7 linked regions of the Sus scrofa genome follow. The protein of the gene in region 1 purifies or fractionates together with the protein of each later gene. This does not show direct contact. Links are inferred from orthologs where the notes say so. Each region holds a gene or a part of one and is shown on either strand. Other genes may lie near its edges.

The links.
Region 2: the proteins of BCL7C (region 1) and SMARCD3 purify together in Homo sapiens (affinity purification with mass spectrometry; 3 studies listed by BioGRID and IntAct, counting the BioPlex papers as one, with this or other methods). This does not show direct contact. The link is inferred for Sus scrofa from reciprocal best matches to the Homo sapiens genes BCL7C and SMARCD3.
Region 3: the proteins of BCL7C (region 1) and DPF2 purify together in Homo sapiens (affinity purification with mass spectrometry; 4 studies listed by BioGRID and IntAct, counting the BioPlex papers as one, with this or other methods). This does not show direct contact. The link is inferred for Sus scrofa from reciprocal best matches to the Homo sapiens genes BCL7C and DPF2.
Region 4: the proteins of BCL7C (region 1) and ARID1A purify together in Homo sapiens (affinity purification with mass spectrometry; 5 studies listed by BioGRID and IntAct, counting the BioPlex papers as one, with this or other methods). This does not show direct contact. The link is inferred for Sus scrofa from reciprocal best matches to the Homo sapiens genes BCL7C and ARID1A.
Region 5: the proteins of BCL7C (region 1) and ARID1B purify together in Homo sapiens (affinity purification with mass spectrometry; 4 studies listed by BioGRID and IntAct, counting the BioPlex papers as one, with this or other methods). This does not show direct contact. The link is inferred for Sus scrofa from reciprocal best matches to the Homo sapiens genes BCL7C and ARID1B.
Region 6: the proteins of BCL7C (region 1) and SMARCA4 purify together in Homo sapiens (affinity purification with mass spectrometry; 6 studies listed by BioGRID and IntAct, counting the BioPlex papers as one, with this or other methods). This does not show direct contact. The link is inferred for Sus scrofa from reciprocal best matches to the Homo sapiens genes BCL7C and SMARCA4.
Region 7: the proteins of BCL7C (region 1) and SMARCD2 purify together in Homo sapiens (affinity purification with mass spectrometry; 3 studies listed by BioGRID and IntAct, counting the BioPlex papers as one, with this or other methods). This does not show direct contact. The link is inferred for Sus scrofa from reciprocal best matches to the Homo sapiens genes BCL7C and SMARCD2.

The regions. Positions count from the first base shown.
Region 1 is NC_010445.4:17,546,158-17,550,345, forward strand, and holds the start of BCL7C (B-cell CLL/lymphoma 7 protein family member C), read left to right. Parts: upstream 1-1,388; 5' UTR 1,389-1,578; coding exon 1,579-1,670; intron 1,671-2,241; coding exon 2,242-2,320; intron 2,321-2,658; coding exon 2,659-2,767; intron 2,768-2,866; coding exon 2,867-3,028; intron 3,029-4,188. UniProt on the Homo sapiens protein: May play an anti-apoptotic role.
Region 2 is NC_010460.4:5,957,072-5,961,265, reverse strand, and holds the start of SMARCD3 (SWI/SNF-related matrix-associated actin-dependent regulator of chromatin subfamily D member 3), read right to left. Parts: upstream 2,801-4,194; 5' UTR 2,700-2,800; intron 990-2,699; 5' UTR 888-989; coding exon 849-887; intron 1-848. UniProt on the Homo sapiens protein: Involved in transcriptional activation and repression of select genes by chromatin remodeling (alteration of DNA-nucleosome topology).
Region 3 is NC_010444.4:6,879,999-6,883,498, forward strand, and holds part of DPF2 (zinc finger protein ubi-d4), read right to left. Parts: intron 1,510-3,500; coding exon 1,349-1,509; intron 951-1,348; coding exon 843-950; intron 515-842; coding exon 351-514; intron 1-350. UniProt on the Homo sapiens protein: Plays an active role in transcriptional regulation by binding modified histones H3 and H4. Is a negative regulator of myeloid differentiation of hematopoietic progenitor cells. Might also have a role in the development and maturation of lymphoid cells.
Region 4 is NC_010448.4:84,115,729-84,119,228, forward strand, and holds part of ARID1A (AT-rich interactive domain-containing protein 1A), read left to right. Parts: intron 1-119; coding exon 120-252; intron 253-420; coding exon 421-596; intron 597-926; coding exon 927-1,077; intron 1,078-1,158; coding exon 1,159-1,299; intron 1,300-1,383; coding exon 1,384-1,480; intron 1,481-1,941; coding exon 1,942-2,833; intron 2,834-3,196; coding exon 3,197-3,327; intron 3,328-3,500. UniProt on the Homo sapiens protein: Involved in transcriptional activation and repression of select genes by chromatin remodeling (alteration of DNA-nucleosome topology).
Region 5 is NC_010443.5:9,797,381-9,800,880, forward strand, and holds part of ARID1B (AT-rich interactive domain-containing protein 1B), read right to left. Parts: intron 2,925-3,500; coding exon 2,141-2,924; intron 216-2,140; coding exon 85-215; intron 1-84. UniProt on the Homo sapiens protein: Involved in transcriptional activation and repression of select genes by chromatin remodeling (alteration of DNA-nucleosome topology).
Region 6 is NC_010444.4:69,737,707-69,741,206, reverse strand, and holds part of SMARCA4 (transcription activator BRG1), read right to left. Parts: intron 2,615-3,500; coding exon 2,488-2,614; intron 1,944-2,487; coding exon 1,770-1,943; intron 444-1,769; coding exon 270-443; intron 1-269. UniProt on the Homo sapiens protein: ATPase involved in transcriptional activation and repression of select genes by chromatin remodeling (alteration of DNA-nucleosome topology).
Region 7 is NC_010454.4:15,094,926-15,098,425, forward strand, and holds part of SMARCD2 (SWI/SNF-related matrix-associated actin-dependent regulator of chromatin subfamily D member 2), read left to right. Parts: intron 1-1,864; coding exon 1,865-2,049; intron 2,050-2,241; coding exon 2,242-2,284; intron 2,285-2,443; coding exon 2,444-2,566; intron 2,567-3,500. UniProt on the Homo sapiens protein: Involved in transcriptional activation and repression of select genes by chromatin remodeling (alteration of DNA-nucleosome topology).

The sequences.
Region 1 (4,188 bases):
GTGACTCTTGTTGGGTATTTACTATGCGCAAGATGCTGTTCTAAGAGTTACATGTATATTAACTCATTCCCATGTTACAGCTGAGAAAATAGTGATAAGTGACTTGTTTGAGGTCACTGGACAAGCAGAGCTGGGATTTTACCCCAGCGATTTGGCCCAGAAATGATGTCATAACCACCTCTGAACATAGTCACACCAAAACACACAGACCCGAGAGCCACACCCTTGACACATTCACACACAGCAACACAAATTTAGAATGTCATACCTGCTGGCAAACACAGCCTCAAACAAAATCAACCAAGACACATGTATTTTAAGTAAGCTTTTCATTGACGTGCTATAGACACAGGGTAAAGTACACACATCCTATATGTACAGCTCCGCGAATTTTCCAAGAGTAAATATGCCGTGGGAACCAGCACCAGATTAAGAAACGGAATCTGACCAGTTCCCAGAGGCCCCTCTTAGCCCCTCCCAGTCCCCAGGGTGACCACTCTCCCCGGTGTTTCGCACCATTTATTGGTTTTGTCCAGAACTTTCTCTGAATGGGATCACAGGGCGTATTGCTTCTCTGACCTCTTTCACGAGACGTCCCCATGTTGTGTGTAGCAGGACATCACTCTCCTTGCCCTGTCGTCCATGGTGTGAACAGGCTACAATTTATTTTCCATGGCCCTGTGGATGGGTTGTTTCTAGCCTGAGGCGCTTAGGAACAGAGCTATGGACATTCCAGTACAGGTCCCTTGGGGCTCCTACCCACGCATTTCTGATGGGTGTTAACCATCCAGGAGCGGAACTGCTGGGTCACAGGGTTGGTGTACGTTCGGTTTCACTAGAAAAGCGCCAGCTTTCCAAAGTGTCTCTATCAATTTACACTCCCCCAGAAATATGAGAGGTCCAGTTGCTCTACTTCGCCTCCACTTGGCAAGGTCTCATCTGAGCCATTCTGGAGGGTGGAAGAGGCACTCAGTACATTTACAGTGTCTGGCACGTAACTGGCCCTCAGTTAATAGCCTGTAGAATGAATGGATGAAGAGATAGTTGCAGCGTAGAACCAGGCAGCCGAGCAAGGGACACACACACACGCAAACACACACACACAAACACACACACCGTTCCAGGGTCCACCCACGCGCAGCGGTCGCACCCGGGACACAGATCCTCTCGCGCCCCCTGGCGCCCACGTGGTCTGAACGCACGGCCGCAGCCCCGCCGCGCGCGTCCAGTCGCCGAGCTGCCCCAACCTCCCTCTCGGCCGCGGGCAGGGGGCGCTGCGCGTCCGGGCGCCTCGAGGCGGAGGCGGCGGGCCCGGTCGGGGCGGGGCCGGCCGGCTTCCAGGCCTGGGCTCTGGCCGCCCGCGCCGCCGGGCGGCTCCGGGGACGGGCCGGGGCGGGGCGCGGCGGCAGGAAGCGGGGCGGGGACTCGCGGAGGCGTTGGGGAGCGAGGGAGGGCGCGGCCAACTCCCGGAGGGGCGACAGGCCGAGAGAGCGGCGCCCCGGCCTGGCGCCGAGCCTGAGCCCGCCGGACGGGAGGCGGCCCAGCCGCGGGCTCGGCCTCGGCCCCAGCCCCGCCAGCATGGCCGGCCGGACCGTGCGGGCCGAGACCCGGAGCCGGGCCAAGGATGACATCAAGAAGGTGATGGCGACCATCGAGAAGGTCCGGAGATGGTGAGCGCTGCCCCGGGGGCCAGGGACGGGCCACGGCGGGCCATTCCTCCCCCGACACGTCCACACCCCCTCCGCCACCTGTGGCCCCCAGGTGTTAGGTGTGCCCCTCTCCCCCGCCGCCCCCAGCTGCGTCCTGGATCTGCAGGGCTCTATCTCTCTTCTCCTGGCTACACCCTGGGGTCTACAAAGCGTGTTCCCCAGCCCTGCCCTCCCAGAGCTGGAACCCCCCCTTTATGCCCCGCCCCCTAAAGCTTTGACACTCCTCCCGCAAGTGTGCCCCGGGATCTTCGAGGCTGTGGTCCCAGGCCTATAGTCGCGCTCTCCATGTATACCCCAGGGGTCTGCCGCGTCGTGACCCCAGCCTATTTTTTTTTCTCTCCCTCTCTCTCTTTCTCCCGCCCCCCACCTATGCCCTGAGGTCTGCCGGGCTTCTCCCTCCAAGTCCCATTAGCCACGCTGCCGCTTCTTTTGCGCACCACCCCCACCTCCACACGTATCCCCAGATACATCCAGCTCCTGGGCTGGCTCTCTCCTCAGGCCTCTCTGACCCCGTCCCTCCACCGTCCCACAGGGAGAAGCGCTGGGTGACTGTGGGTGACACTTCCCTGCGTATCTTCAAGTGGGTGCCAGTGGTGGACCCCCAGGAAGAGGTGAGCAAGCTCCCCCACACCAGGCCCTGCATCTGGGCCACCTCGGGCAAGCCCCTCCCGGCGGCTGGCCTCCACCTCCAGTCCCCACTTAGACCTTACATGCAGCCTCGGGAACAGATGTTAACAATTATTAGCAACTCCGCCTCTTTCCCCTCCCCCGCCACCAGACCCCCTGAGTTCACGGCCTAACGCCGCCGCCGCCGCCGCCGTGGCGCACAACCTGTCGCTCACGGAGGGCCTTCTGCTTCTCTGTGCCTCAATGTCGTTATTTGTTCAGTGGGGGCTTTGCAAGCACTAACTAGAAAGCTGACTGTAACCCTTCGTCCTCTAACCCCCAGGAGCGTCGGAGGGCAGGTGGCGGCGCAGAGCGATCCCGAGGCCGCGAGCGGAGGGGCAGGGGCGCCAGTCCCCGAGGGGGGGGCCCTCTCATCCTGCTCGATCTCAACGGTATGTCGGGGATGCTGGCTGGGCTTTGGGGCAGCGGTGGGGAATGAAGGAGGGGATTGGGCGCCTCAGACCCAACCCTTTCTGCTCTTGCTCCCACAGATGAGAACAGTAACCAGAGCTTCCATTCAGAAGGCTCCCTGCAAAAGGGCACGGAGCCCAGCCCTGGGGGCACCCCCCAGCCCAGCCGCCCTGTGTCACCTGCTGGACCACCGGAAGGGGTCCCTGAGGATGCTCAGCCCCCACAGCTGGGCCAGGAGAGAGGTAGGACCAGGTGCCTCCCAGGAACCTTCTCCTCTGTGTCTTGTCCTCTCCAAGGTTGCAGCCCCCCACTTGTCCTCTGTCTGGTCCCCCTCCTGTGTCGAGTCTTCTGGAGACCATCCCTGAGTCCTGTGGAAAGTGACTGCCTTTCCTCTAGGGCCTTTGGCCTTCCTCTGGCTTCTTTGGGTCTGTAGATAACTTATCACAGATTTTCATGTAAATTTAGCTTTTGAGTAGTTAAATATCTTTCTTCCCCATTCCCACCTCCTGTCCGCTTCCTGAAGGTTGGGCCCATCTTGATCCTGTTCTCGGCTGTATCCTCGGAACACTGCGGACCACCTAGCAGGTGCTCAAGAAATATTTGTTGAGGAATAGGTAATAATCAAAAGACTGATTAACAGTCGGTGATAGTTACAGCTAATACTTACTGAGCTCTTTCTGCGTGCCCGACACCCCGCTAAGCTCTTTCCATGTTTTATCTCATTTCATCCCCACTGCAGCCCTATGAGGGCTACGATCTCCATTGAGAGATGATATACCCGAAACCCAGAGAAGCTGCCCAAGTTCACCCAGCCAGCGAGCCAGGATCTTGGGCCTGAGTCTTCATCAGCTCCTCTTTCTTCCCGTAAAGTCAGTCCCCTGTCTGATCAGATCCATCTCTCAATGTGTCTGTCTGCCTTCCTCTGCCTGCCCAGGCCCTGTCGTCTCTCTAACCCACACCCGGCTCCGGCCTCCTCATGGGTCTGTTCCCCTCCAGCTGCACCCACACAGCTACCAGAGCATGCGTTTGATGGGGTCATTTTCCAGCTTCAGAACCTTCGATGGCTCCCTCTGACCTTTGACCCCTCAGCTTGGCACTCTGGGCCCTTCCCGAACCGTCCCCTGCTGACCTCACTGTTCCTTTCCAAGAACACCAGGACTTAGGCCTCCGTTCTGTGTCTGGATCGTAGCACACGCTCGTGTACCTTTACTGATATAAAAAACCATAATTGGCATTTCTCGAGCACTCACCGCATTAAAACCGTGTTAACGGTTTTGCCTGTGTTACCTCCTTTGATTCATACACCATCTGATGTGGTAATTACTATAATTATCCCCACTTGACAGATGGGAAAACAGGGTTAGAGAAATTAAGTCACTTGCTCGAGGTCAAGATTCGAACT
Region 2 (4,194 bases), on another chromosome or scaffold:
CGGGGGCGGGGGGCTGGACAGGCCGAGCTCAGCCCAGATGGCATGTCTCGGACCCAGCTCCACCCTCACGCAGATGAATGGGGCTCTGGGCCAGGTGGCCGTTCCACACGGTGCCTCAGCGCTTCCTTCTGCACCAGGGGCCCCGACGGGGGACTAGCCAGGCTGTCTCCTCTCACGCTGCCTGCCGGGAGTTGGCGCGCTCACTACGGGCCTGAGAGCCAGCACCTCTGAGCCGGAGGCCTGCCTGGTGGCAGGGCAAGGCCAGCTCCACCAGAGGCCCTGCCACAGGACGCCACCCCTCCTGCCTGGAACGAACCCCTGTCCGGGTCCCAGAAAGCTTTCGGATGTTCGCCATAGCAGGTTTGGGGGTAGGTTTCCAGAGCCCAAGTTGTGCCAGGATCAGCGGTTTCCTCCCAGCTGTGTGCTGGGGTGTGTGTGTGTGTGTGTGTGTGTGTGTGTGTGTGTGTGCGCTCGCGCACAGGTGAGGGGCGAGAAGGCGTGTGTCTGGGTGTCCGTGGGGAGGACATGGAACAAGCCAGAGGAGGCTCACTTGTCCCTGGCTCCGACTGGCTTCAAGAGGCAGGACCCAGGGACAGTGGAAAGTAAGGGGACCCTGAGCAAGAGGGGGGGCCAGTGTGGAGGTGGCTGCCAGCAGGGCCTGGGCAGAGGTTCCAATTGGGGTAGGGGATGAGAAGAGGCCCTGCCACAGGTCCAGCTCGGGGCAGAAGGGCCAAGAGGGGGCCCAGGGGTAGGACCAGAGGCTGAGAGCCAGTGACTCTCAGTGGAACCCCGAGGCTCCTGCTCCAGGGCTGGCGGGGGTGGGGTGGGGGGAGGGCAGCAGCGCCTACCTGTACCACGGCGGGTGGGTGCTGAAGGCCTGGAGTCATAGGTGGCAGGGTCCTGCAGCGGGGGAGTCATCCAGTGCCCCCTCGGTGCCCGGGCCCAGAGCCTACCGTGCCTGCAGCACCAAGGGCCATTCTGGGGGGGATCTGAAAGGAGAGGGCAGTGGGAGGGACTGGCCAGACCCCGAGCCCCAGAGCCAGACTCACAAGGGCCTGCTGTGTGGACCAGCTCCATGACAAGGTCTGAGGAAGGCAGGAGGCGCGTAGGAAGGGAGCAGGGGGCGGGCTGGGCCAGCCTGGCTGGGTGGCACAAGGAAGGGCAGCGTGACTGCAGGAAGCAGTCAGAGACCAAGGCCTACAGGTCAGGCCTGGAAGGATGCGAGTCAAGGAGCTGGCAGAGCCCAGGCCCTGGCAGAGGCAGCACCTTTGGGGGGTCCTGTCAAGAGTGGAGGAGAGAGCCGGGCACTGGGGTGGGGAGGGCATGACCGGCAGCCAGGATGGGACCTGGATGACTTCTGGAGCTCAAGGATGTCCCAAGGGACAGCTAGGGGTGGGTGGCAGTAGAGCCAACCCGCTCTGTAGTCTGCCCAGCCGACAGTGGGCCCTCCCTGTGTGCCCAGCCTTCGTGGTCACCCCCTGCCAGGGAGGAAGGCGGTGGGCTAGGGTCAGAACCCAACTTGTGGGCAGACAGCAGGTTGGGGGACGAGGAGGGGGCAGTGTGGTAGCTTGGGAGCAGTGTGGGGGCTTGGGAGCAGTTCAGGGGCATGTGCTGGGGGTGTTGGCCAGAGGGTGACTCTGAGAAGGGTGAGGAGGCAGGGAGGCAGTGAGAGGAGGGAGATGCCAAGAGGGGAGGATGTTACCAGCCTGGGGCAGGGGAGGAGGTACCTGGCAGGAAGAGGGACAATCTGAATGGGGGAGAGGTGTTGGGCAAGAGGAGGCCAAGAGGAAGGGGCACAAGGGAGGGAAGGAGGGGCCAGGCAGGGGGGAGGGAGAGGGCCAGGCAGGGGGGAGAGGGGAGAGACAGGCGGGGGGAGGGGGAGGAGGAGGGCAGGGGAGGGGGTTGGGCCAGGCAGGGGTGGGGTGGGGGTGCCAAGCATGGGGGAGGGGGGGAGATGCCAGGTAGGGAGGGGGTGGGGAGGAAAGCTCCAGTCAGGAGCAGGGCAGGAAAGTGCTGGGCAGGGAGGAGGGGACAGGCCACTGGGGACAAGTAGGTACAAGGCAGTTGGGGAGGAGGGAAGGTGCCAGACACGAGGGAGGAGAGGAAGGTACCAGGCAGGAGAGTGCCAGGCAAAGGGAAAACGGGGGAATGCAGGGGAGGGGGAGAGGGGAGGGACCAGGTAAGGGGAGGAGGGAAAGAAGCCGGGTGAGGCGTGGAGGGGGAAGAATCAGAGAGGAGGCTGGATGGGAGTTTGCCAGTCAGGGAAGAGGTGCAAGAAAGGGAGTGGGGGGAGGTGCCAGGCGGGGCGGTGGGGCGAGGGGAGTCAGGAGTGGGGGGAGAGATCAGGAAAGGAGAGGGGGGGAGCCAGGCAGGGAGAAGGGGGTGCCAGGTAAGAGGAAGGTGCCAGGAAGGGGTAAGAAGGGAGGTGCCAGGCAGAGGGAGAACAGGGAAATGCCAGGCAAGGGGAGGGGGGAAGGAAACGCCAGACGGGGGGGGGGGGCGGTGAGGGATGCCAGGCAGGCGGGAGGCGAGGAGGTACCAGGCGGGGGGGAGGAGGGATGCCAGGCAAAGGAAGGAGGGGTGATGCCAGTAGAGGCAAGACGGGTACTGCCAAGCAGGGAAGGCCGGGGCGCCGGCGCAGCGCGGCCGGGCGGCGTCTCCTCCAAGGGCCTGGGGGCCGCGCGGCGCGGGTCGCTCACCTGCTCCCCCGGGACCCCGGCCCGGAGCGCGGTCGCTCGCTCCCTGCTCGGCGCTCGGCTCGGCCCGGCGCCTGCGCCGCTGCTGCCGGGAGCGGGGGAGGCGCAGGGAGCGTCTGCAAAGAGCGAGGAGCTTAATAATGAGTTAGGGATCAGAGCAGTCAGCGTCGCCCCATCCATCCGAATGTGCGATCGCCACGCTTGGAGCACCGCGGCGCGCACTGGCCGGGCCCATTGTGATGTTCATTTAGTCAGTGCACAGATGTGCCTTCGTCTGTAGATGCGCCTCTGCGCCCGCGGATTCACATAGACCTTCAGAGGGTCCGATGTGACCGCAGACATTAGGCGCATGGGACCACAGACAGACAGACACACACACTCTCAGTGGGGAGAGGGCCTCGGTTCCACTCCAGGTTCAAGGACAGGCTCCGACGGATGCCCCCGCCCCGCCCCGTCATGCATGTGCACGCTCCTGGTCTAATCTGTGTCCCTCCGGGCTGTACTACCGATTCCGCGGGGACGCTGGCCCCGGAGAATCCCTTCCTGGACTTGCAGCCAGAGGAGCCGCTCTGGTCACTCCGCAGGCTGTCTCTGTGAATCTGACTATTCTTGAGTACTTCATACAAATGAAATCATTCTGTATTTGCCCTTTGGCGACTGGCTGATTTCACTGAGCATAACGGCCTTGAGCTTCATCCATGCTGTAACGTGTCAGAAATTCCATCCTTTTGAGGAGAAGATTCCTGTTGTCTGCATATATGCAATGCACAGATGAATATATGCCATTTTTTTTTAAGTCTTTCTGGGCAGCACCTGTGGCATATGGAGGTTCCTAGGCTAGGGGTGGAATTGGAGCTGCAGCTGCAGGCCTACACCACAGCCACAGCAATTTGTAATCTGAGCTGAGTCTGCCACCTACACCACAGCTCACAGCAATGCTGGATCCTTAGCCCACAGAGCGAGGCCAGGGATTGAACCTGCATCCTCATGGATACTAGTGGGGTTCATTACCACTGAGCCACGCGGGGAACTCTTACACACCACATTTTGTTGACCCATTTGAAACTGACAGTATTAATGGCCTGAACCTAGCCAGAACACAGATTGGGGCTTGAACCCATGTTTTAAACGAGCACTCACCTGAGGTCTGGACTCACTGAGGTTCAGGTTCTTTATGCTTCCGTGCAGAAGGAATTCAGCGAGAGACACAGTGATAGCCAAGAAATAGATTTATTAGGATAGGACGCTTGTGAGGGATGCCAGCAGGCAGGCAAGGAAGCTCTGCCCCACGAATCAGGTGGGCTACAGCTTTATCATCCAGGGGGAGTGGGGGTCGGAAAAGCCCGCCTCTTCCTTTCTGGGAGTAGCAGCTCCTCCTGGGTATCCGGAAAGGTGTGTATTCAAATCCGCAGAAGGGCGGTCCTCAGATTCCTGCCCTTGGTCTGAATCTGAACGCAGCCCTCACCCCATCCCCCACCCAACGACCTGAGGCAATTCT
Region 3 (3,500 bases), on another chromosome or scaffold:
GCGGAAATGACTCTGACTAGTATGCATGAGAATTCAGGTTTGATCCCTAGCCTTGCTCAGTGGGTTAGGGATGCAGCGTTGCTATGGCTATGTCCATGAGCTATAGCTCCGATTCGACCCCTGGGAACTTCCTTATGTCACAGGTGCAGCCCTAAAAAGCAAAAAAAAAAAAAAAAAGTGAATGAGTGAGAGTCTATACTGAGAAGGAGTGGTAGGTGGTGCAGGAACAGAACTCCAGGGACCCGCCTCCTGGCCCACAGCGTCCACTTCTATTCGGGCTGCTGTGTGGCCTCTGGGGGAGGAAGATGGTTTCCATCAAAGCCCCTTTAACCACAGTGTTATTCTTGTACCTTCCGTGCTCGACTGTTTGTCACAGGAAATTCGCCCAGGCTGTCATCATCAACTCGGGGATCTGGGGCACCTCGCTTCTCCATGGGGTCAGTGCGCAGCAGAGCCTCTAAACTACTGCCGTCCTGAGAGATCAGGCCCTCCTTCTTCAGGGTCTGGTCTGTGTCTGCAAGCAAGGTCAGGGTTAGGTGAGGCTCATAAAGGCTGAAAGAGGACCTCTCCAGGTCTACACAGGACTAGACTAGCCACAAGCCAGTCCCTGTCTCCTGGTCTATGGCTGCCCAGAAACCAAGGCACTGTAGTTCACTTGGCACCATTAACTTATCTGTTTATCTGTCTCCTCTATTAGACTGAGTTATTTAAAGAAAAGAATCTCATCTTATTCATCCTATTATCTTTAGGACCTAGCATGGGGCATGGAATACAACAGGTGATTAGCAGGCATCTTACTATGCTTCAGGCCACGCCCTTGCTCAAGGAGGAGTGCGCTTTACCTGGTTTAATAGATGGGAAGGAAAGCCTAGGATCCTCAGGAGGGTGAGCGCGCCGCTTTTTCCGCCAGCGCCGGGCAGGGTAGGAATACAGCTGCCCAGAGGCCAATCCTGTGGAAGGAAGAAAGAAGTCAAGCCCCAACCCCCAGTCATAGAAAATGATAAATACCAAACACTTTCTATGTGAGTAGGCTCTGACTGAGTTCTAGAGCAAGGGAGGAATATGGACAGGGAGGGCCTCGCAATTGGGGGAGGCATGGTTTATGGAAAAGAAAAACAGATGTAAGCTCAGGGGCCTTGGCTAACACACAGCTCTCCAAAACCCAACAGGAGCCTCAGCGGTGTAGCCCTGCAGAAAGCAAAGATGCTTCATCCTTCCTGGACGGGCTTCTAATCATGGGAAACCAGTCACCCATGGGTGTAAAGCAGTAGGGAAAACCCTTTCAGATGGCTCATCACCTAAGGTGAGGAAGCTTCTTTCTCCTCGTGCTCCTGAGTGGGACCCTCACCTGGACCCCGGTGTCGCTTTTCCATCCAGATATAACAGTTGCTTTGGGCTACCCCAGTCTGTGAGTCCAAGAAAGGCAGGCGTACGCTGCGCTCAGCGCAGAGGCGGGCATTGTAATTGTGGCACTGCTCCATGGCATCTTTGTAATACTGCTCCCCAAGGCTGCAGGAAACACAAAAATCAGGGGTGTGTGTGTGTGTGTGTGTGTGTGTGTGTGTGTGTGTTGGGGGAGGGGTGTGAGGCGCTGTGCATTCCCTTTCCTTTGCCACCTGCTTCTCTAGAAGGCTCAAGGGACTGGGAGACTGTCACTCTGCTTTTATTTGCTTCCATTTCTGCCTCATGGGACTCCAAGCCCCTTCACTATGCCATTAAGAGGAAAGGCACTTTACAAAAAAATTACTGTCGGGAACACGTGATTTCATCATGTCTCATCAGACCTTAGTCTAACCCATGAAGAAGGGAAGAAAATAATGTTCATTCTGTGCCTCTCATGAGTTCAACCCTGCGCTAGCCAAGATGCTATTTCTCTTACTCCTCAGGATTCTGAGGAGAGGTTACCTCCTTTTTACAAATGAGAAAAGAGTTCAAAAGGACTGGGGGACTTACTAAATTATAGTTAGCAAACTACATTTATATAAACTTTATCTACATAAACTATATCTATACAATGAAATTCTACTTAGCCATAAAAAAAGGAAGCTCTTCATGTACTAATATTAAACAATCTCCAACAATCTCCAATCTACCATTTATGCAGCCAAGTGGTAGAAAAGAAACTGTAGGCCTCCAAAAAGAATAGCCAGGTGACTAGGGGACTTTCTCCTATGTGCCATTTTGTATCTTTTGAATTTTAAAGTAGGTATTTATTCAACTAATTCTACATACTAATTTCACAATCAATGGAAAACATCTGAAAATACCTGAACACTCTTGAAGCCTAGTTTCTACTGAGTACCATAATTCTGGGACAAAACCTGTTTGCTCGAACGCCCATCCTAGGCCCTTCTTCACTCTCACACCATCAAATTTTTAAGGAAAGGAACCTTCTGGACTCAATTTGAGATGTGAATTTTCTAAGTGCTTAAAAAGCTGCAAAACTGCACATCCTTCAAGATTTAACAAGCAGGAGTTCCTGTCGTGGCGCAGTGGTTAACGAATCCGACTAGGAACCATGAGGTTGCGGGTTCGGTCCCTGCCCTTGCTCAGTGGGTTAAGGATCCGGCGTTGCCGTGAGCTGTGGTGTAGGTTGCAGATGCGGCTCGGATCCCGCGTTGCTGTGGCTCTGGCGGAGGCCAGGGGCTACAGCTCCGATTCGACCCCTAGCCAGGGAACCTCCATATGCCGCGGGAGCGGACCAAAGAAATAGCAAAAAGACAAAAAAAAAAAAAAAAAAAAAGATTTAACAAGCACTTTAGTATTGGAGCTTAAACTAACTACAGTGATTCATATTTATATATTCGATCAATCTTTTTTTTTTTTGGTCTTTTTAGGGCCACACTCACGGCATATGGAGGCTCCCAGGCTAGGGGTTGAATCGGGGGTGTAGCTGCCAGCCTACACCACAGCCACAGCAACACAGGATCCGAGCTGCATCTGCGACCTACCCCACAGCTTACGGCAACGCTGGATCCTTAACCCACTGAGCGAAGCCAGGGATCGAACCCGAATCCTCATGGATGCTAGTAGGGTTCGTTAACCACTGAGCCATGACAGGAACTCTATTCAATCAATCTTAAACAAGCGGAGGGCAGAGATGACCTCATCCCCACAATATCCTCAGTACCCTTGAAGGTGTCTGGGACATCTTGACCCGAGTCGGGAGTAAAAAGACCTGGTTTGGCTGCAAGTTATCACGTAAGCACAGACATGAGTCAACCCACATGGACCTTCGGTTCTTGTGCTATAGATTGGGGAGGCTGAACTTGGATAAGCTCTGACATATTCTACAAGAGGGAGACTCCTAGCATGAAAAGCTGAACAGAGCAAATTTCTGTTGCTTATGTCCATAACTCAAGCTACATCAACAAACCCTGCTCTGGAATTTGAGGGGGGCTTTCACTGGGCAGCCACAATAGACCACTAAGGCACAGCTTAGCACGTTCCCAGAAACTGAAAGCCACACACTGCACACAAAGCAGTGAGACCACAAGATA
Region 4 (3,500 bases), on another chromosome or scaffold:
GAGAAGGGTGACAGACAGCTCTAGCCTCATAACAATCTTTTTCATAGAGATTCTGGGACATTTGTGTGTTTCTGTGAGGGTTAAACGCTTTCCTGCTTACCCTGCATCTCTGTCCACAGCGGGATCAGGGTCAATGCAGGGGCCACAGACACCTCAGTCAACCAGCAGTTCCATGGCAGAAGGAGGAGACCTGAAGCCACCAACTCCAGCATCCACACCACACAGCCAGATCCCCCCATTGCCAGGCATGAGGTGAGGCCAGGAGCAGGGGCAGGTGCTTTGGGGAATCCTGGGCCCGAAGTGCATGAGCTCCTGTGCAGCTCAGGGGGTCCCTGGTCTCCCGACCAGTGAACCCATGTGCCTCGCGTTATTGGAGTAATAGCTTCGTTTGGGGTCTAATGAGCTTTCCTCACTCTTGAGCAGGAGCAATTCAGTCGGGATCCAGGATGCCTTTCCTGATGGAAGTGACCCCACATTCCAGAAGCGGAATTCCATGACTCCAAACCCTGGGTACCAGCCCAGTATGAATACCTCTGACATGATGGGGCGCATGTCCTACGAGCCAAATAAGGATCCTTATGGCAGCATGAGGAAAGGTGACCAACTGCAGTTGGCCTTGTGTCCTTCAGGACAGGGCCAGGGGATGGGGGGATATCTTGAGAGTGGTTCAAGGTTCCTATTGAACCATCCTCTGAGATGAGGCACTTCTGGACCTAACCCCCTCCTTCATCCTCCTTTTTTATTTCCTGCTCTTCACCGTGTCACCCCTTTACATGCCTCTTTAGATCTCTGTTTCAATCCTGTCAGAAAAATAGTTGGAACAAACCTGAGCTCTGAGAGGTCCTTGGCCTTTGGGGCAAGCAAAGTATAGGTTGTTAGGCCTGCTGAACAACCACTTTGCTCACTGTCTTCCCTTTTGCTCTCAGCTCCAGGGAGTGATCCCTTCATGTCCTCAGGGCAGGGCCCCAACGGCGGGATGGGGGACCCCTACAGTCGAGCTGCCGGCCCTGGGCTGGGAAATGTGGCGATGGGACCTCGGCAGCACTATCCCTATGGAGGTCCTTATGACAGAGTGAGGTAAGCATGGCCCCCACTCCAGTCCCACCCCAGACCCCACGGCTAGCACGGACTCAACCTGCTTCTCTGCTTTTTCTTTAGGACGGAGCCTGGAATAGGACCCGAGGGAAACATGGGCACTGGAGCCCCACAGCCGAATCTCATGCCTTCCACCCCAGACTCGGGGATGTATTCTCCTAGCCGTTACCCCCCACAGCAGCAGCAACAGCAGCAGCAGCAACGGTGAGTGAAGCTTGGTCTTGGTGCTGCTGTGGCTAAGGCTTTTCGCCATCCCACCCTGATCCTCTGTTTCTCTCCTTCCTGCAGACATGATTCCTATGGCAATCAGTTCTCCACTCAAGGCACCCCTTCCGGCAGCCCCTTCCCCAGCCAGCAGACCACAATGTATCAGCAGCAGCAGCAGGTGAGAAAGGTAGTGGGTGGGATGACACTGGTTCCTCTGAGAGCCAGTTAGAAAACCTTGGTCAAAAACTTGAGATGGTTTGGTGTTCTTCTTCCCAAATAGCCATTTTTGTCTAAAGAGCCAAGCCCTCAATCTTCTCCCTGTTTGGAGTCTAATCCAGTCTCTAGTTCTCTGCAAGTGTTAGAAACAGGCCTTATTTTGATTTTTAAACTTTGCTACGTTTTTCTACGTAGAGCAAGGGAGAGACAGAGGGAACAAAGAATGGTTCTTACTTTCAGAAACAATTTCAAAAGATAACGTGTAAAGGTGATTCTTTTGTTCCCATGGAATCTGTGTCCCCTCCTCTCTCAGAGGGGCAGAAGTAAGCCCAGTACGTGTCTGATGTAGCCATCTTGTCAGCTGTAGGTCTCCTATCCCCGGGTTCAGAGTATTAATTTCCCCTCTGCTTGTCCCTATCTTAGAATTACAAGCGGCCAATGGATGGCACATACGGCCCTCCTGCCAAGCGGCATGAAGGGGAGATGTACAGCGTGCCATACAGCACGGGTCAGGGGCAGCCCCAGCAGCAGCAGTTGCCCCCAGCCCAGCCCCAGCCTGCCAGCCAGCAACAAGCTGCTCAGCCTTCCCCTCAGCAAGATGTGTACAACCAGTATGGCAACGCCTATCCTGCCACTGCCACTGCTGCTACTGAGCGCCGACCAGCAGGCGGCCCCCAGAACCAGTTTCCATTCCAGTTTGGCCGAGACCGTGTCTCAGCACCCCCTGGCTCCAATGCCCAGCAAAACATGCCACCGCAGATGATGGGCGGCCCCATACAGGCATCGGCTGAGGTTGCTCAACAAGGCACCATGTGGCAGGGGCGTAATGACATGACCTATAATTACGCCAACAGGCAGAGCACGGGCTCTGCCCCCCAAGGCCCTGCCTATCATGGCGTGAACCGAACAGATGAAATGCTGCACACGGATCAGAGGGCCAACCATGAAGGCCCATGGCCTTCCCATGGCACACGCCAGCCCCCATATGGTCCTTCTGCCCCGGTGCCCCCCATGACGAGGCCCCCGCCATCTAATTACCAGCCCCCACCAAGCATGCAGAATCACATTCCTCAGGTATCCAGCCCCGCTCCCCTGCCCCGGCCAATGGAGAACCGAACCTCTCCTAGCAAGTCTCCCTTCCTGCACTCTGGGATGAAGATGCAGAAGGCAGGTCCTCCAGTACCTGCCTCGCACATAGCACCTGCCCCTGTGCAGCCCCCTATGATTCGGCGGGATATCACCTTCCCACCTGGCTCTGTTGAAGCCACACAGCCTGTGTTGAAGCAGAGGAGGCGGCTTACAATGAAAGACATCGGTAAGGAGACCTCCTTGATTGGGTTGCTGAATCTGCCCCTTTGCATCTTGTTCATTGTTCTCTCTCCATCCCGATGTTCTGGATGAGTTAAAAGCAGGTCCAGTGTTGACTAAAAGAGAGTCCAAGAACTTTGGGTAAGGAAGAAATCATCTGATATCAGGCTTTACTAAAGGAATCGCCACACAGTGATGTCCTAAGAGAGCTTAGAAGCCCTGAGGGGCAGATGTGTGTCATCTCCCAGATGGGAACTGCCTCTCACCATGTGTTCTCTTCAGAGTAGCCTGACTGATGAGCCAGCTCTGGGGTGGGAGGGCCCCTGCCAACCTGGGCTTGGTGGATGGACGACGTGGAGGTTTATTTCAGGAACCCCGGAGGCATGGCGGGTGATGATGTCCCTCAAGTCTGGGCTGCTGGCAGAGAGCACATGGGCATTAGACACCATTAACATCCTGCTGTACGATGACAACAGCATCATGACTTTCAACCTCAGTCAGGTGAGTACAGGTGCCTGGGGAAGATTGGGAAGGCCTAGGATCTTCTTGACAAAGACAGTGCTAAGCGACCAGGGAATTAAGCCATCCCTGGTCAACATGATCTCCTCCCACTTGTTCTCTGATACCTTTCGAGCCAGTACTTTGCCAGCAGCCATGGGCCCCCAGTACTGAGA
Region 5 (3,500 bases), on another chromosome or scaffold:
GTGAGCGCTCGTTGGCTCGGGCACCACGCGCTCCTTCAGTTTCTCACTCTGTGCTGGTCCTCGGCTGGACCGGCGCCGGCTTACCTGGGAGAGATTGAACGTAGCGACCGTGCTGTCATCATACAGAAGAATGTTAATAGTGTCCAAAGCCCAAGTACTCTCGGCCAGGAGACCTGACTTAAGGGACATCATCACACGCCAGGCCTCAGGAGTAACTGCAGTTGGAAAAAACGACGGCGGGGTTAATACTGCCTCTAAGCACAGAGGAGAGAAAAGAACCAGAGAATCAGAAAAAGAAGGCGGGGGTGACGTGAAATATGGACTTTTAAACAAATGCTCTTCGGGACAGCTGAACGTGGTCATTTCGGGATTGAGATGGGGAGACGGGCTGCCCTGAGAAACTTCTGCAGCCGAAGAGCTTTTTGCTTTGCAGGTTAAATGGGAGGGGTGGCTAAACACAAACGGTCCTTTCTGTATTTGTCTTTTGCTCCATTCACAACTGTCTCAAGGTGACGTCTTCAGAAGGCTGGCAAATAGGCAGAATATAGGCACAATTTCATTCCCCAACAGCACAAGCTCAGATACGGAGTCTCCGCTCTCCCACACCGTCTTCCCTCTGAGCTCCTGCCTGCAGAACACGCTGTTGACAGGTACTAGCACTTTGATGGTTCAGAATTTTCAGGACCTCGGCCTGAGCCAGAGGATGGGCTGGACTTTTGTTTTCCCCATTCCTCTTAGTGATGAAGCCACAGCGATGAGAGGAAAGGTTTGCAAGGTCTGTCACAAGACGGGACTCGGAGGGGAGTCCCATCATGTGTCTGAGAGTTCAAAGGGAAGCTGTCTCAGGAAGCCGGCAGAAACAGCGGGTGCGGGAAGACCTGTGCTGTCAGAACCCCCAGAGCAGCAGCCAGGCCAGACCAACAGTGATCCCAAGGGCAGGAGGGGCCGCGGGTTGCCACTTTCGGTTTAATTTCATCTAGTTTTCAAAGTTTCTAAGATAGACACATAATACTTTTTAACAGAGAAGGCAAACTTTCATTTTAAAATGAGGACCCTGAGTTTCTCTACAATTTATACAATTGATACAATTAAGCTCTATTATTTCCTTTGCTGTGTTATAAGTACTTCAAAAAATAATGCAGGAGGAGTTCCCACGGTGGCACAATGGGATCAGCAGCATCTCTGCAGCACCTCTGTGGCGCTGGGATGCAGGTTCCACCCCGGCCTGGCACAATGGGTTAAGGGTCCAGCATTGCACCTGGAGAGTAGGTCGCAACTGCAGCGTGGATCTGATCCCTGGCCCAGGAACCCCATATGATTTGGGGTGGCCAAAAAAGGAAAAAAAAATGTAGGGAGTTCGCTGGTGGCTCAGCAGGTTAAGGATCCAGCACTGTCACTGCTGTGGCTCTGGTTGCTGCTGTGGCCTAGGTTGGATTTCTGGCTTGGGAACTTCTGCATGCCACGGGTGTGGGGAAAAAAAAAAATGCAGAAAAAGGTAGTGTCATCCCAGAAATTCCAAATTTCTAATTAGTATTCAGAACATCTCACGCAGAATGAACAGGTGACATCAGCATTCAAATGAAAGAGTTCCTTGGGCCATATCAACAGTGCTACAGAGATTATATCGAATCCTACATATCGTACCATAGAAAATTTCATAGAGCCTATCATGTTACCTAGCTACACACCACAGCCAGGCTTCTATATTTTCCTAGGGAAACTCACTGTCTGTAGGTTATTACCAAAATTACAGAGTGGTTTTCTAGCAAAATTTCGCAGGCCACGCTAGCATTTCTGCAGTCTTGGAGCTGTTCTGTTAAGCACACAGGGCAGAGATGAAGTGTTGGGTTCAGCTTAGATCTTTTGAGAGCAAAGCACAGTAGGGAGTCACAAGGAGTCCCTTGGAGCTCCCCGGTTGCTCTCCCTTCTCACACAAACAACATTCACACGTAAAGGTGCCGTTTTAATGCTCACTCCGGGGCTTAGTTCAGATTAGGGGCTTCCAACTACTGCTCCTGCACCAAAATACGCCCTGGGAGGGTGCGATCCTAGAATTTCAGCCCTTTGGGATTAGGGGACCACATCTACCCTCAAACTGACATTCCAGATGGCAACCGGAGTCCGTCTGAGGAATGCTTACCGATATCCTTTGAGGTAATCTTTCGCCTTTGTTTCAAGACTGGCTGTGAGGCTTCCACAGAGCCGGGAGGAAAGGTGATCTCCCTTCTGATGGGGGGTGGCTGCGGGGGCGGCCCCGCGACCTGGGCCGTGGGGACGGTGGGCATGGCCTTCTGCATCTTCATGGCGGGCAGGAAGGGGGACTTGCTGGGAGACAGACGGCTCTCCAGGGAGCGCTGGAAGGACGCGGGGCTGGGCGCTCGGGAGATGTGATTTGGCAGTGACGGTGGCGTCTGGTAGGAGGACTGAGGCGGGCGAGTGATGGGCTGCATGGAGGCTGAAGAGGACATGTAAGGCTGACGCTGGCTGACGTGAGAAGGCCACTGGCTCTCGTGATTTATCCTTTGATCAGGTACCATCATATCATCCGTGCGGTTCATGCCTGGATAGGGAGGTGCCTGTGCAGGGCCGCCGGGGCCTTGCCTATTCTGGTAGGGGTAAGGCATATCGTTACGCGTGGCCCACATACTCTGCTGAGGCCCTTCGCTGGAGGACGACTGCATCGGGCCACCCATGATCTGGGGCGGGATGCCGTGGGGCTGTATCTGGCCCGGGCCCTGCATCCGCTCTCTGTTGTAGGGGTACGGGTACTGCCCCTGGATGGGCCGCCGGTCCGGGCCCGAGTAGGAACCGCTGTACTGGTTGTACATCTCCTGCTGCTGGTTGCCGTACTGCATGTTGTACACGTCTCCCTCGTGGCGCTTGGCGGGAGGCCCATACATGCCGTCCATATGGCGCTTGTAATTCTGCAAAGTCATACAGACGAATCACACCGATGTGCTTTTACAGGTATCACCCACACTTAAGTTAGACAAAACAGTTAGTACCTGGTGGAGCGTTCCTTTCAAAAGGAGCACGGGGCGCTCCCGCAGCAGCGGAGGAGCGCGCCTTCACCCCGCCAGGCGCCCGGACGGGGCGCCCAGTTTGTTCCCACGCACGCGTGCGTGCGAAATTGTCTGCAGGTGGAGCAAAAGCCTTCCTGCCTGGTATTTTCCAGGGCTGCGATTTGGGAGAGCATGGCTTTGGAGACCACTGCACAGGCAGGGCCGCCCCGGGGCTCGGAGATGCGCTAGGACGACTTCATAGGTAGAGAGAAATGTCGCGGGGACGGACTGAGCATTCTGAAGGCCAGCCCGGAGGGCGCCGCGGTCCAACAGACTCCTTGGGCCCAACTTTACAGAAGAGCCTCCACGCAGGACTGGCTCCTCAGAATGGCCCTGTGGCCCCCGCCCCGGCTGCCGGCTCAGCCGGGTCACATTCGCCATGAAAGCCTCTGAGGACAGGGCTGGCTGGTGTGGCCCCCGTTAGGAAGCTCTCCTCCT
Region 6 (3,500 bases), on another chromosome or scaffold:
GTGGCTCTTCCATCAGAAGGGGCTGCCACCTCCAATTTCCAGAGAGCACAGAGCATCCAGCAAACCTGTGGTCACTGACGGCTGGAGTGGCCCGGCAAAGGTCTGGTGACAGGTCCTTCGGACTCCCAAACCCAAGCCCTCTCTTCCTCTGTCCCACTTCTAACTCTGAGCAGCAAAATACCCCAGCGAAATCCTGGGCAGTCAATCCCCATGCTTGTGAGAGAGAGACACACACACAAAGGAACCCGGGTCACAAAGGCCAATTGTACCATGAGCCTCCGCATTCTCTCCTTCTCGATTCTTTCGTTTTCCTTCTTCTGTTCCCGCTCTGTGTTGGCGTGGTAAGTGGCCACCGCCTTTGTGAGTTTCTGGATTTTGCCTGTGACTGATCTGTGATATTCTTTGAAATCCTTGGCATGCTGAAGAATGCTGTTGAGGTATTCCTGTAGGAAGCACACAATAGAGCAGACTGACTACAGGACAGGAGTCGCTGCATCGAACATCAAAGGTAGCTTGGTGAAAACCCAGAGGGCACAATCTAAACAACACATCGACCCTATGCCCATGAAGTCCAGCATTCTCTGCGTCGGGATAAAACTCCATGCCGGCCTGTGGCGTGAAGGGCCTTCCCTCGTGCACAGTAGATGGGGTAGTCCACAGGGCTTCCACTGGGCTGGGACCACCTGGCACTGTCTGCCAAGTGCTTCCAAACACAACTGCCTGCCAGCCAAATCACTCCACTGCTAGGGATTTATTTCAAGGAAAAGAGCAGAGACTGGCCCCCAAATTCAAGTATAAGAAAGTCTATCCCAATGTTATTTTTAATATTGAAAAGCTGAAAATATACTGCATGTCCCCCAGTAGGAAATGGTTTCATAAATTACTGGATGCTGGACATACTGAGAAGGACTACAATGTAGACACTAAAATCATGCTTCAACAATACTCTAAACAGGTCAACATGTGTATGTTGTTTTAAAAAGTGGCTGCTTAACTTGTGATTACTATATGTAAGAAAAAAGAAGATTGGAATGATATATACCAAAATGTTAACAGAGGCTAACACTGAGCACTGACTTTTTTGTTATCATAAACCGTATCAGTAATAGATACTGATAGGAGAAAACTTCATAAAACATATATCAACAAAATCAACCCAAATCCTATTTGAGGAGAGATTCTGGTTTCCTTTACTGATGTTGTAACAACCTCTGCCAGATCACTCCCTCTGCTTAGGACCCTCCAGGGCTCTCATCTCATTCAGAGTGAAAGCCCAAGTCATCCCCTCGCCCCATGGAAGCCTTGCATGCTCTGCCCATCACCTCCCCCTTCTCCCCACCTCCTGCTCGCCTCCTTGCTCACTCCACTGACTACACTGGATCCTTGCTTTTCACAGAGCAGTGGGACACAACCAGCCCCAGGGCCTTTGCACCTTCCCCTCTATCTGGAAACACACACATCTGGTGGCTCCCTCCCTTGGGCCTCAGAGCTCACCTGCTCAGGGAGGACCTCCCAGACGGACCATCCTCCATCACGCTCTAGCCTCACTTCATGCTTCCTTACACCCTATTAACTTCCAACATGTTATACACGCATCTGATTCTACTATTTGGCTTTGTCCCCTGATGTATTTTTAATGCTCAGAATACTGACATAACAAACGGAAAAGAGACACAGACAGTGTGTTGACAGATAAACCAAGGCTCAGCAGCTTACAAGCTGACACCCTGGACATGTGGGCAGGCTAACGCGCAGCTGCAGGGACCTACCTGGTGCTTCTGCCGGCGCTTTCGCTCCTGCTCAATCTTTTGCTGCTTCTCCAGCTTCTCGGTGATGCGGGCCTCGCGCAGGGACTGCCGCTTGCTACGCTTGTAGGCCTTGGCATTGAGGGCCGTCTCGAGGGCTGTGTCCCTCCGCATGCACACTACCACCTCCTGCCGCAGCTTCAGGAAGGAAGAGGAGAAACTGGTAACGGGTACAACTCCGCGACATCTGAATGACATGCACAATTCCACATGGCAAGCTGGGCAGAAGGCTCCCGCTCCCAGAAGGACCCATGAGCACAAATGTGTGCACGGGGAGGACACATGGTGAGGCCCTCGGGTTGGGAGATGGCTGCTTCTGGACACCCGGCAGAGAACACTCTCACACCTCAGGTCTCCAGTTCTACCCTCCCTCAACCACAATCAAACAAAATTTCTTATTGGTTGTTCAAAAGGAAAGGACCCTCAGCAATAGACCCATCTAAGTTCCCTGCTTCAAGCTGGTCACTGCCGCCTTAAGGAAGACCCACGTCTATTCAGCCTGTGCCTTCACTGAGCAGTTCCTCCACTGGGCAGGATGTGCAGAGGAAGGGGGGGGACAGTGACCTAATGAATGTGGGTGAGCACTGAGGCTTTTAATGGTCAGGGTGCATTTAAAGACCTGAAGCAGTAACATTGACAGAAAGGGCTCTTTTCCTAAAGCATCAGCTGCGCCTGCGCCCACCTGCCTCTGGAAGTTCAGGAGCCTGAGGGCCTTGAGCTCAATGGTCGCTTTGGTTCGCAAATCCCCGGCCAGGGACCCGGGAAGGTTTTCAAGTTCCTGAATTCGGTGTGCGATGCGAGCCTGCAGCCTAGAGTGCAAAGATAGAAAGAAGAGCAGGTGATGGGAGGTCTCACTTGTTTATAAGGAACACACCTCTTCCTTTTCTTTAAAGCCAGAACCTCAGAAGAATCCAACCCTTGAAGGAGGCTGCTACTGGTCACAAGACAGGACATGGCTAAGAAAAGGAGGCCACACAACACAGACTACACACAGGACAGCAGCTGCAGAGGTCTCGGGAGCCACGGCAAACAGGAAACCTGACAGGGCGCAGCAGGCTTCTGCCATTTCAGCAGTGGGAGCCAGGCTCTGGAATCAGGCAGCCAGTGTCTCCATCCCAGCCCTGGGAATCTACTTAGCCCCTGAGCCTCAGTGTCCTTAGGTGTGAAGTGGGGAGACCCTTCATAGCACCCTCCAGGGTTGCTAACTGTAAAAAGAGACTTCAAAAAACCTGTATGGGAAACAGTACACAGGTAAGGATGAGAGCAGGGAGGAGGCATAGACCAGACAGCAAGGTGAAAGGCGCTGGGGGTAAGGAAGCTGAAAGGGTTCACCAAGCGGACATCAGGGATGAGGAAGGGCAAGCAAGGGTCAAGGGGCCACGGGGGCCACGGTCCACTCAGCTACAGGATGGTAGGTGCATGGGAACAGAGACAGGAGGGGAAAGTGGGTGGGTGTACCACCATCTGGACAGGCCATCTTTAAGCCGTCCAGATGGGGAGGTGCCTGGGTATAGGGGCTGGAGCTCCAGGGCACAGCACAGCTGGAGATGCACTCTGGAGACGGTCATTTGGCAAAGCTTTCCTGGTGCATCTGGGGAGTTTATGGTGCACAAGGCACAGCCCCCTCCTCTGATGGAGCCAATATTTATTTACCAAGGGAGGCTAGCCCTGAACAAGTCATAATGGAGAAACAGG
Region 7 (3,500 bases), on another chromosome or scaffold:
TAAGCAGCTTTTCCCTGGGCCCCTTCCCCCTCGGGAGAAGCCTGGGGCCCGGCGCGAGCTGGGGGCTCTGCACCTGGGATCTGGAGCAGCATCTGGGAGAGGCCTCTTTCAGGCCCTGCCTGTGCCACCCGGTTTGAGGACTTCCTGTTCCAGGAGCACCCGCCTGGGGTGGTTGTCGCTGAGGAGGTTGTGCGGATGCCCTGGCAAGGAGGCCTTAGCCTTCTCCCTGCAGGTCTGCCGCTTTGGTTGTTCTTCCCCTTCAGCTCAGGCGCTGGGGGGAAATTCACGTCTAGGGTGCTTGGGGCTGGGCTTACAGCTGTGGCTCCCTGAGTTTTTTTCTGTCATCTCTAGCTGTGGCTCATTAAGGCAGAGAAACAGGCTGTCTTTTGCCTCTCGTGAGCTCAGGTGAATCTCTTCCTGATGAAGGGAACCTTGTGGCGGGACTCCAGGTCCCAGAGCCCCCCACGTGTAACTCCCTCCTCCTAGCACTCCTTCCCCCTTCCCCGTATCTTTCAATCATGTTTCTCTCAATCTCTGCATCTGCTCAAGAATCTGACCCTCCTTGGTGAGAACATGGGCCGAGTGCTAAATGAAGAGAAGTGGGAATCTCGTCTCCGTGATGTTGGGGTCGGGGTGAGGGTCTTTTGATTTGGTGCGAGTCCCACCCAGCCTGGCTTGGTTGGCTGGTTGTGCTGGTTGCATAATCTGGGCCCTGGGGCCAGCCCTGCGAAGCTGCCAGGGACAGTGTGTGCGCGAGGCAGAGCTGCCAAACAGGCCTTGCAGGAGCAGCCATGACGAAGGGGGCGGGAGTTACTCCCACATGGGCTCCACGGAGGTGTTGGGGAGCTGGCCCTCGGTGGGGAGTCCTTCTGCAGGCCTCTAAAGAAGCCACCTCTCACCCAGTTTCCTCTGGTGACCCTGAGGCTTTGATGCCTGCATCCCGGGATAATCTCATCTCCATTCTCCAGCTTGGGATTGCCAGGGCTACGCTGAGCCCGAGCCAGCCCCAGTTGCCAGGTGGTGCGTGGACCACGGGCAGAGTGCAGGTGCCAGCTGCTCTGTCTCCCACAGGCTGCTCAGGAGCCACAGCGTCCCCTTTGGGATGTTCTGGCGTAGGGGTTGGGGGCCGGGAAGCAGGGAGGTAAGAGAAGGGTCCAGTTTTGAGATGTGAGTAGGGGCCATATGGCGACCAGATGGTCTCCGTACTCTGCCTGAGGCCACTCCCCCACTTGGGACACGTTCCAGGCCATCCTGTTGCAGTTTGCTCACCTGGGGTGCCATGGCCTGGTGGGCCTGCCAGCCAGTTGGACTGCCTTTCTCCCCTCAATCACATGACCAGACTGGGTGCTGGGGCTGCGCCCCATCAGCCTGCTCTTATCACATTACTCCCACCACCTGGCAGGGACACTGCCCCCAGGCTTCTCCCTTATGCTGGGAGAAGGAGAAGGATGGGAGTGTTTGGTGGGACCATCAGAGTTGTAGGAGTGCCTTGAAGCTGGCTGGTTCCAGGGAGCAGGGCAGTGTGTGCCAGGACTGCAAGGTGGTTAGAAGGTGGTGATGGGCCCTGAAAAGGTCCCCAGGCCCTTCTTCTCTCTGCAGGCAGGATTCTCCTCCCACCTGCTGGGCTCTGCAGGCCTCATTCGCTGGCACCGCTGCCAGGGCGGTTGAAAGGGGTGGGGCAGGTGTGGTTTACACTTCTGCTCTCGGGCGTCTGCTCCCCTTTGTTCCTGGCACTCCTGCCCGGGCTCTGCCGTGAGCTGCTCAGGGCTGGGCCTGGCTGGGCAGAGGGATGGAGGGAATGGGTTATGGGCCCCGAAGGGCCCCGCTGCTGACCTATGCACCCCCACTGGCTCACTTCCTCCAGCGGCCTGGCATGTCACCTGGGAGCCGGATGCCCATGGCTGGCTTGCAGGTGGGACCCCCTGCTGGTTCCCCATTTGGTACAGCTGCTCCACTTCGACCTGGCATGCCACCCACCATGATGGATCCATTCCGAAAACGCCTGCTTGTGCCCCAGGCCCAGCCCCCGATGCCTGCCCAGCGCCGGGGGTAAGACCATCCTGTTTCTCCCACCCCACCTAGAATCGGCCTGGTGGTAACAGGGTTTCCTTCAGTCCTAAGAGCTGGGATGACTGAGGAAGACGCCCGGTTCTCTTGGGAGAAGGTCCTGGGGGCTGGAGAGGTAGATGGGGGGGAGGTCCTCTGGACCACTGACCTCTTAAGTGGGTTTCTGTCCTCCAGGTTAAAGAGGAGGAAGATGGCAGATAAAGTTCTACCTCAGCGAGTGAGTTTGTTGGAAGGGGGCCTAGGAGGCCCGTCCAAGGGCTGGTTGGCTGGGGCTGGAGTCAGTCTCCCCCAGCCCTGGGGTGGGGGAGGAAAGGAGGAAGGAGCCGGAGCCGCACCTGAGACAAGCCGATGAATCCCTTCTCCCTCCTTCCTCCAGATTCGGGAGCTTGTCCCAGAGTCTCAGGCGTACATGGATCTCTTGGCTTTTGAGCGGAAGCTGGACCAGACCATTGCTCGAAAGCGGATGGAGATCCAGGAGGCCATCAAAAAGCCTCTGACGGTGTGTGCAGCCCTGGACCACTCCTGGGCCTTGCCCAGCTTCTCTGCCCCTCCTCTCCCGACGTGTTTGCCAGGGGCCAAGTGAGGGTCTGCCGCAGGCTGGTGCAGGGTTTTTCATTCTGCAGGGTCCAGCTCACGGAGCACGAACTCAACATCACGTGGGGGCCAGCATGTTTTTAATGAAAAGCCAAAGAGTAGGAATTACAGTAATTCCTCACAGAGTAGAGGAATTATTTTATGATGTTTTGGTTTCTGACATTTATACACGTGTGTGCATATCCTGGATCAGGCATTAAAACGTACATACTGTAGATGATGGTCAGAAGCTTCAAAGGCAGGACTTCCTGGTGGTGCAGTGGGTTGAGGATCCAGCAGTGTCACTGCTGTGGCTTGGGTCACTCCTGTGGTGAGGGTTTGATCCCAGGCCCAGGAACTTTTGTACACCCCAGGGGCAGCTGGAAAAAAAAAAAAAAGATCTCAAAGGCAGAACTACAGGGTAGATAAAGATGGTTCTTACCTTCTTCCCAGAGCAGCTTTTTTTTCTTTTTTCTTTTTTTTTTTTTTTTTAATAAATAATCTGTAACAGTCCCTTCAATGTAGAAGGCTTTCCAGGAGATGATATTCTGGGGCCGCGAAGGGTGTTTGAGTTTCGTTAAAAATATGAGCCAGAGTGAGTTCCTGGTCTGGTGCCATGGGTTAAGGATCCGATGTTGCCACAGCTGTAGCCTAGGTTGCACCTATGGCTCAGATTCAACCCCTGGCTTGAGAGCTTCCACAGGCAGTGGGTGCAGGCCAAAAAAAAAAAAAAAAAAAGGAGCCAGCCAGAGGCTTCTGATTTGCCTGAACCTCTGTCACTCTACTGAACCACCTGTGTTGGAATTGTTGGCTTTTTGGCAGTGCATCTGTCTATCTTACAAAACTGAGTTCCTTGAAGG